2 linked regions of the Daphnia pulex genome follow. The protein of the gene in region 2 purifies or fractionates together with the protein of the main gene of each other region. This does not show direct contact. Links are inferred from orthologs where the notes say so. Each region holds a gene or a part of one and is shown on either strand. Other genes may lie near its edges. The genes, in order: cell division control protein 45 homolog and DNA replication licensing factor mcm7-like.

Region 1 (4,414 bases), on a different chromosome or scaffold from region 2:
TCAAACCACCCGAGAAAAAGAATCTCCCGAATAATGAAGGCAACTGTAAGATCTTCCAAGCGCATCCCTATTGAATTGCGACATGGAAACAAATAAATTGCTGTCAACCGTGAATGAAACAGAATGGATGCGCGGAAGCCATAACACATGTCGGGAATCAAGCGCATCCAATTGTTTGCCGTGAGATACTTAACTTACTTAAGACTGGCTGCCTTTTCAAAAGGTAAAGTAGATAAAAAGTTATTGCAATAAAGGATGTATAATCGGCGATAATATATAATTTGCACGGGAAATCGCCAACGAAATTCTACACACTGTTTTAAAATCAAGTATGGCATGTTTAAAAAAAAAAGGGGGAGAAAATTCTCTAGAGGGAGTACAGCCTTAAATAAGAATAAGAAGAAAAAAGATACTCGTTTGATGTGAATCACTAATCCCATTTTGACCGTTCGGGTTCGGTAAATTTGTGTTACTCTAGGAGTGAAAAGAGCGAATCCAAGAAATTGGTTCGGCATTCCGAGTTGATCTCGATCACTGCGCATTCAAGAGAAAAACGAATTAGTAAATAAATCGCTACCTACAGCAACACAAATCTCATACCGGAGGAGTCAAAAAATACAGATGTGATTTCTGTTTGGGTATTTTCAGCTGCTTGCTCAAAGGCTTTTCCAATCAAGCTGTGACAATCGTTGCAAACGGTTAAGAAACGGTAAATGGAATTCTAGGAGATGAGGCACTTACTTTTTAGGGGAATCCAATGATAAAGGAGGCAAACCCAATAAAAGGCAATGAGATGGTCGAGACGCCGATGGGGCTGAAATGATGAGTGGAAGCTCTCTCGCTCTCAATCCACGACCTCGTGCTCGCGAGATGTGGGCTTTGAGAAGAAACTGTCCCAGCATGAGCAAACTGTGCGGATAACCATAGTACTTGGCGTCTGGTGTCCCCTGTATGTTGCACAAGTTGTTTAGATGCTATTCGTGTCAGGGATGAATACGATTCATTATTATTACGTCTTGGATAACTGCGTACAAACAAGGTCCTGCGCTGATCACGTGACCCATATCCAGACAGGTGTGCACTTCTTTTCCGATCGCCATTTGCTGAAGCTTGGCCAGTTCGATTCCTTTATAAACAGCATCCATTTTCGAGCTAAAAGATATGAAAGGAACAATGTCTCAATCACGATTCTTTCTATGAAGATGACTTGAGGTTAAGAAGCATACTTTGAAAGACATTCCAGTGCGTCGTGAAATGCATCGGCTGGATCTTTATCCTTTTCGGCCGAATCAAGCAACGCTATAAGAGCGTAGACATAGTCACTGGCGGAATTCTTTGGCCGGAATCCATACTGAGAATTAAAACTGTATTCAACGAGGTCTTCCAAGTCGTATTTTTCCACTTTTTTCTGGAAAATGGCACGCAAATCATTTCGAAGCTCGATATCCATAGAGTTAAATTTTTGGCGACACTGAGACAGTGGAAGCCTGTGAGCAATAATAAAAGACATTGCAATAATAGTAGTAAAATATATTTGGATTCTGAAATTACCCCAATTCAGCTAGAAACTCGTTGAGTTTTTTCTCTCCTTTCAGTGTCCAAAGTTGAAAATGACTGGCTGTTTGAGGAGAGTATTTTAAGCTTTCCAATAAACTCCAGTGTCGGTACATTGACAAATTTAAACTGTTTAAACAAAAAGTTAATTTAAATTACTGTAAATTAAATAGCAAAAATATTATGTTACTCTTTTTCGTGGGTTATATATAGTGCGTCTTTGGTTCCTGTCGATTCTCCACCGTGTTGCGATAAATGGGCCAATCGAATCATGTGACTTTGCAATTTGCCATTATCAAGAACCGAGGTTTTTGATTCGACTTTACCCAGAAGCTGCTGTTCGTTCACACCAATAATAGCCCACCTGCAATACCAATGAACCATGTACATTCTTACTCAGCTAAAAATTTAAAGAATTATTACCACAACAAGTCATTGCTGTCTCTAGATAATTTCCAGGCAAGTTCAAACATAAGAAGAGCAGTCTAAACGACGAAAATGAATGGTAATAAAAGTTGAATACAGTTTTGATTTTGAATTAAACTTACCGACGATGAATAAAAAGAAAATTGCATATAGTTAAACAAAATCTCCTTTCTTTTCTCATGCCATAGCCTTTTTTCTCTACGACGCATAACCATTTCAGCAGGATCCAATTTCTGACGTTTGGATTTAGATTCACGAACTTCTTCTTCATCATCATCACCATCACCATTTGCTTCTCCATCTGAAGGATTGCTGCCCTAATTATTTTAAAAATTTATCAGTTTCAAATTTAAACATATGCCAATTAATTAACTACCTCATCATCATCATCGTCATCATCATTCCCAAAGATATCTTCATATGTTGGTATATCTTCTTTCTCATTTACCTTTCCCAGTATACAAACCTAAACAATGGCACACAATCAACAAAGTTTTCGCTATAAAAAGTAAACAGTGATATTTACCTGTCCATCGTTGTAGATGTTACAAACATCATATGGCCGATGTGAGTCTGCAATATAGAAGATTTTTTCCTCTGATGGTTCTAATGTTTCTACAATGTCCAAAGTTCCTCCACAGTTTATCAGAATAATGTGGTTCGACTGTAGAAATTATATTGACACTCACTTCTTCAACACTATATATATTATTACGAATGCATTTTCACCTGTTCACAGCTCTCTTTGTAGGCTGAAATGAGATCATTTTGGCTCTGCACAGGGACTATAGAATAGCTGATTGAATCACAAAGTAACAGGTACTGCAGAATTCGACATGAAGCTATGGCATCCACGTCGAAATTCACAAATATCAAGACACGCTGTACAAAGAAAATATGAGAAAGACATTACTTTATATCACACACAAAATATCGGTAAATCAGTCGTTCATTATTACTTTTCCCAATATAACATCGTAAAACTCGCGTTTGAGGTCACTGAGAAACATTGTTAGCCATTCACAATACCCTTTCCCTGATCCCTCACTCTTCTTTTCATTCGGTACGTGAAATGGCGCGAAACTAACAACAAAATCGAAGCCTCTTCTGGTGTCCCTTTAACACAGACAAAGGAATTGATTTTGTTTTTTCGTTCGTTTTTTAAGCACACGTGATATTTTTATATTTACAAACAAAGAATTCCACACACAAAATATGAAAAATTTAATTTTTTTATTTCCCTTCTTTTTAACGCTTACTTAAGTTTTCGTTGACAATTAGCATCCGAAATTCAAATGACCAACCAAAAGTTTTCAACTTATTTTGTAGATATTTTTCTCTGTTAGAATAAATCGTCTTTATGTAAAAATCTAATTTTAATCAATCATTATCGTGGATAAAGCTGATGCAACTGTTAAAGATTCAACTATTGGGGTAATCAAATATTCGCATATTTTAAAATATTTCACGTACGGATTCTAGTAAAGTTTTGTATACGCATATGTAGTTTTTTACAAATAATAAAAACAATACGACTTTAAATGCACAAGCATGTTAATTTATCAGCTGTAGGTCTTTATAAACCGTAGTGTCTGTAGCAATTCAACAGTTGGGCGCACGATCGTCAAGGTGCCAGCGCTTTAGGTAAAAGTTCCCCACAAGGACCCGAAAAATGAAATCTGCCAGAAACGTCAATAACGTGTTATGAAAAGAACTTTACGACATGCAAATGTTTAGGTGTTTCATACCCAAAGTGATGAGTAGCAGGAGTAGTTTCCATATTGAATTCCGCGACGGGAACCCCTCTTTCAGCAACCTGGGGAGCAAACATTGCTGCTGGATAGACAACTGATGATGTTCCAACGACCAAACACAGATCGCAACTATTAAGTTCCTCATCTAGATAATAAAATAAACACGTAAATAGGACACATAAAAAATTGACATCGAAGAAAAAATTGTACTAATTACCAGCTTTTTTGAGAACGGCAGAATCCAGATTTTCATGGAACCATACAACATGGGGCCTTAGAAGGCCTCCACAGGAAGAAACTTTGCATCTGGGCAACAATGATTCTGGAACCAATTCTCCAACCTCATTTGGGGATGGTGATCTAATAAGGGTAAGACAATTAGATTTTTATTTGAAATAAGTAAAAAAGGAAAATCTTACCCCTTTCCCCTAAGAGCTTCACAAATGGGACTGTCATGATTGGGTTCTATCTTTTTACATTTCAGACACCGAGTCTTGAACAGACTGCCATGCAGTTCTAAGACATTGACTGAACCAGCCCTTTGATGAAGTTCATCAATATTTTGGGTGATCACACTGACGTGCCTTCCTTCTTTAGTCATTCTATGTTGGAACTCTGCAATTGCATTGTGTGCCTGAAACAAGAAAAAAATACAGATTAAAGTGAGGAAATCATTCGAG
Region 2 (4,516 bases):
GCTAAGTCCCTAACTAAAGCATAAATCTGATCCTTGGCGCTTGCAGGTCTTAAAAAAATAAAAAAATAAAAAATAAGCCATTCCAATAATTTACACATCAAACAATATGAGATACCTTATTGGGCGCTGATCGTGATGATTCAAAGAATCCTTGGACATTTCCATGAGACGCATTGCTTCTCTAACATCTTCTTTTTCCACTTCCTCAGCCAACCTAAGACGTGCCTAAAACACGTTAAATTAGACAACTTAGTGTGAAATATGGCGTAAATAACATAAGTATAATTACCAATGCTGTTGATAAACGCAGAATACCCAATAAATTACGGGCCGAGGTGAATGTCATGTCTTTGTTATTTCTTGCTTCTTTACGCATTTCAACATAAGCGCCTATTATAAAATATTTTTAATTATTCAACTAGTATTAATAGGAAAATCTGATGTGTCCATACTGACGATGTAGTCGGTCAAATGTTCTGGGACAGAAGGCTGTTTTTGACGACAGAGAGCAATATACCGTCTCATTAGTTTCATATCAAGCGGCTGCACGCGTGTAGGAGGTTGACAGTAGTGCTGATGAACATACGTAATATGTCGTGCCAGTCTGCCAAATGATTCAATGGGTAAGAAGGCAAATAAGTAACAGATCAAACTCAATAAGGAATTAAGACAACCAAAGTTACACCTTAAGTCATTCTCTCTGTCTGAGCGATCTTGAATCAACCATAAAACGTCAAAACGCGAAAGAAGGGCTGCTGGTAATTGAATATTATGTTCAACAGATTTTTTTGGGTTATATCGACCATAAGCGGGATTGGCAGCTGCTAGTATGGAAACACGGGCATTAAGTGTAGTCATGATTCCTGCCTGAAATATTAATGGTAAGTTAAATAAAAACTTAATTTTAAATTAGTGTTTTGATGAATTTACTTTGGCTATTGAAATAGTTTGTTGTTCCATGACTTCGTGGATAGCCGTACGATCAGACTCAGGCATTTTGTCAAACTCATCAATGCAACAGACACCCTGATCAGCCAACACAAGCGCTCCTCCTTCTAGGGTCATTTCACCCGTAACTGGATCTTTCAGCACGGCAGCAGTCAAACCGACACCAGAAGATCCACGTCCTGTGGTATACTGACCTATTTTTTTTTTTAAATTATTATTATTGTTTTCAAACGTACATTTTGGGCTATTTAAAATACTTCTTGGGGCTAGACGATCGATGAACTTCAGTAGCTGTGACTTTGCAACACCAGGATCTCCCATTAGACAAATATTGCTGTGACGTAAGATAAATAAAAATAATTAGATTAATTTAATACTATTCCTATTCTGTTATGATTCCATGATTTTTTTTAGAAAACATGCATTTATATAAAAAGAAACTAGCCTTACATCGTTCCACGAATTTTCATGCCATTGGGTTTTCGATCAATTCCACCAACAAGCAACAACAACAGCGCTTTCTTAACGTCTTCGTGTCCGTAAATCTCTGGTGCGATGCTTGTAGCAAGCTTCTCGTAAAAGTCTTCTTCGCCGATTTGACGCAGTTCTTCTTCTGTCAGAGTTTCCATGCTCATTTCGTCATCTTCGGTTTTGTTTAACCTAACTACTCTCTGTCAGCAAACAGTTAAGAGCTAATGAACACTATTCAGAATGGAGTTCTAACATATTTACATGTGCTTCGACATAAGCTTCGGAAAGAAGTCCTTGCATTTGTTGACGAAAACCTGCTCGCAACATAGGAAGGAAAATGCCTGTAATGCTGACATGATCTCCAGGTTGAGACAAACGCGTTGTTTCGCCCCGACAATAGACGGTCAAGCACCGCGGTACGTGGCCAACCGGCACTTGATCACTCTTTTGACAAAACAAAATGGTTACATTATGAGTAAAAGTTTAAGTTTTTTTTTAAATATCAGATTACATGTTCCTGTATCTTCAGTTCTTGAAACTTGACAAATTTAGAGCCACGAGTTTGAAGATACAAGCGACCACCACTCTTATTCACTTTGCAATCATCAGTGGGACACATCAACAGCGGCATAAAAGATGTTGAATTAATCTAGAGAAAATACCATATTTAGAATTAGAGGAAAATAACATCAGTGTAAGCTTCTTTGAAATTACAGGTTGATAAGTTTCAGCACCACACTGGTCACATGTATATGTTGCTACCTGCATCATTGGTTTCACTTCAGTGCAACGTGTTACTATGCCACGAACTGTCACTAGTTTACCTAGAATGAATGTGTACAGAAAACTTTTTTAGAAGCCTATCACTAAGCTGAATAATAAATTGCCTACCTATATGAACAGCTTTTACTTCTCTAATGGGTATAGCCTTCTGCAAAGAAGGAGATTTAAAATAAACCTCACTAAAAAAAAATGATTGCTTCAGAAGACATTAATTATTTCAAGAAAATATTAGTGTAGATTACAATCTGCGCATCAATTCTGGAGGATACTTGTGCAGTCTATTTGGTTCATCATTTTGGTGCTGATTTTCAACTATCAGGCGATGATTAATGTAGACATCAAGGGCATCCTTTGCTTCAACATCATGCTCTTTATAGTTGGGTAGCATTTCTTGAACAACTTCCCCAAACAGCAAAGTGTATCGTCTACCATTGTCAACTATCTGTTCTGCTAATTCATCATCAAACTCAGCAACATCTTCCAAATCAATCACTAGTTCAACCTACAACAATCTTGTTTTAAAATAAATTTACGATTGCGAATGTATTTTTACTTTACCTGCTCACGGTGAGCAATTCTAGTTAACTGAGTGGCATATTTGAAGTCTTTACCGTTTTTTCCCACTTTGTGAAATTCGGCGAAAAACGTTTTAATTTTTTCTAAAACAAAAAAAAAAATAATTCCAATATAGAAATGAAATAAGATATTAATTTACCCTTTTGCGCGTTATAATCTACCGGATTCAGAGCCATGTTAAAAGGAAATCGTAGATGGATAACTGCCTAACAGAATCGGTTTATGTTAATAACTGACTCCCTGTGCTGTGTGCTTAACACTGTTTGACAAGTTACTTGGTTTATTGTTCTGCGCAGAAATGGGCGCGAAACGGAGCCCTAACAAACAGCGCTCTGCTGCCATATTTATGTAGTTCTTCGCTTTCATTTTTTTTTTTTTTTATGTATCCCCAGAGTGTATCCCGAATCCCGATCCCATTGGCGCTGTGGCCCGGACCTTTTGGGACGGATTTCTTCTTATATCAGTCAAATTATTAAGCGGTTGTTTTCCTTAATGGGGTTGGAGCCTGATCGGCGTTTAAAAAAAATTTACCGTCCCGCTTGACTGGCTTGAGGCTTGCATCATGTAAAATAACCCAGGTCACGTTATGTCCTGGGTATTAAATCAGGTTAAGGCATGGGTATGGACAGGAGTATGGAGAGATGTTGCCAATGACCATGTTAAATTTCCCATAAGGAGATTCAACGGGAAGCTACTTTTTTACTAGCGACATTTGTATGGACATGATACGGTGGCCTCTTTGAATCAACGCCATCTAGGCTGTTGCGACATATGGACATTCAAAGGGGCCATTTCAAAGGTCGAGTTGACTGTATATATGTCGCAACGTCTTAGATGGCGTTGATTCAACTCGACCTCCATACAAAATCGCTAGTAAAAAAGTAGCTTCCCGTCGAATCCCCTTATAGGAAATTTAACATGATCATTGGCAAGTGGCAACCATTTCTCCATACTCCTGGTTAATAAGGGCACATTTTCAATTTTTATCGATAAATACAATGACTGCGGTAATGAGAACTCGTTTTATCATTATCAATCATAGCTATCTTCAAACTCATAAAAAAGATATAGATTATTAATTTAGAAATTTTTTTTTGATTTTTATGGATCTGGTATGGAATGATTGTTTTATGTGGCAACATTGTTATTGGTAATAATTAACAAACTCCTCAAAATCCAGAAATTTTTTTTAACACAAGTGTAATCTTAAAAAAATAAAATACAGTTTTTCTCTTCGTCTCTCCAGATAAATAAGAAAGAAAAGAAATGTTAACGTTGAAATCAGGAAGTCGTTTCATTTCAAATATGTCTAGATTTGCGTTGAGTCGACAAATATATTTGTCATGTCGCAAACAAGTTGATTCTGATGAATGGAGAACTCACCTTACAAACAACAACACTGGCGAAACTACCCCTCTTACAGTTGGTGTGGAAAAAAGTTAGTTTTAAAAGATTACATTCATTTATATAGTATTTAGGTTCTAATGTTCTTTTATGTAGCTATTAATTCGGTGACTCTGTTGGGTAGAGTTGGCTCAAATCCTGTTAAACGTGGTTCTTTGGAACATCCAGTTGTTACATTTTCTTTGGCTACAAACTCAAACTATAGTTATCCCAATGGTTTGTTAATTGAAATTTAATTCAAAATATTTTAAACTGATTTGTTTTCCTAAAGGAGATGTCAACCAGAAGACTGAGTGGCACAGAATTTGTGTGTTTAAACCTTACCTGAGAGACT

Evidence for each region.
Region 1: the proteins of DNA replication licensing factor mcm7-like (region 2) and cell division control protein 45 homolog purify together in Drosophila melanogaster (affinity purification with western blotting; 3 studies listed by BioGRID, with this or other methods). This does not show direct contact. The link is inferred for Daphnia pulex from reciprocal best matches to the Drosophila melanogaster genes Mcm7 and Cdc45.

The regions. Positions count from the first base shown.
Region 1 is NC_060026.1:14,327,530-14,331,943, forward strand, and holds cell division control protein 45 homolog, read right to left. Parts: upstream 3,078-4,414; 5' UTR 2,991-3,077; coding exon 2,940-2,990; intron 2,863-2,939; coding exon 2,710-2,862; intron 2,645-2,709; coding exon 2,507-2,644; exon of another isoform or gene 2,447-2,506; coding exon 2,357-2,446; exon of another isoform or gene 2,298-2,356; coding exon 2,103-2,297; intron 2,060-2,102; exon of another isoform or gene 2,040-2,059; coding exon 1,978-2,039; exon of another isoform or gene 1,919-1,977; coding exon 1,745-1,918; intron 1,684-1,744; coding exon 1,552-1,683; intron 1,488-1,551; coding exon 1,227-1,487; intron 1,153-1,226; coding exon 1,014-1,152; intron 948-1,013; coding exon 742-947; intron 678-741; coding exon 601-677; intron 535-600; coding exon 470-534; 3' UTR 241-469; downstream 1-240. Other genes in the region: NAD-dependent protein deacylase, read right to left, coding at 3,605-3,659, 3,729-3,879, 3,952-4,094, 4,154-4,368.
Region 2 is NC_060025.1:5,067,087-5,071,602, forward strand, and holds the start of DNA replication licensing factor mcm7-like, read right to left. Parts: upstream 3,071-4,516; 5' UTR 2,955-3,070; coding exon 2,918-2,954; intron 2,862-2,917; coding exon 2,761-2,861; intron 2,705-2,760; coding exon 2,445-2,704; intron 2,382-2,444; coding exon 2,311-2,381; intron 2,244-2,310; coding exon 2,134-2,243; intron 2,069-2,133; coding exon 1,931-2,068; intron 1,864-1,930; coding exon 1,681-1,863; intron 1,620-1,680; coding exon 1,399-1,619; intron 1,283-1,398; coding exon 1,206-1,282; intron 1,143-1,205; coding exon 931-1,142; intron 868-930; coding exon 453-867; intron 391-452; coding exon 290-390; intron 226-289; coding exon 116-225; intron 49-115; coding exon 1-48. Other genes in the region: single-stranded DNA-binding protein, mitochondrial-like, read left to right, coding at 4,045-4,216, 4,279-4,398, 4,454-4,516.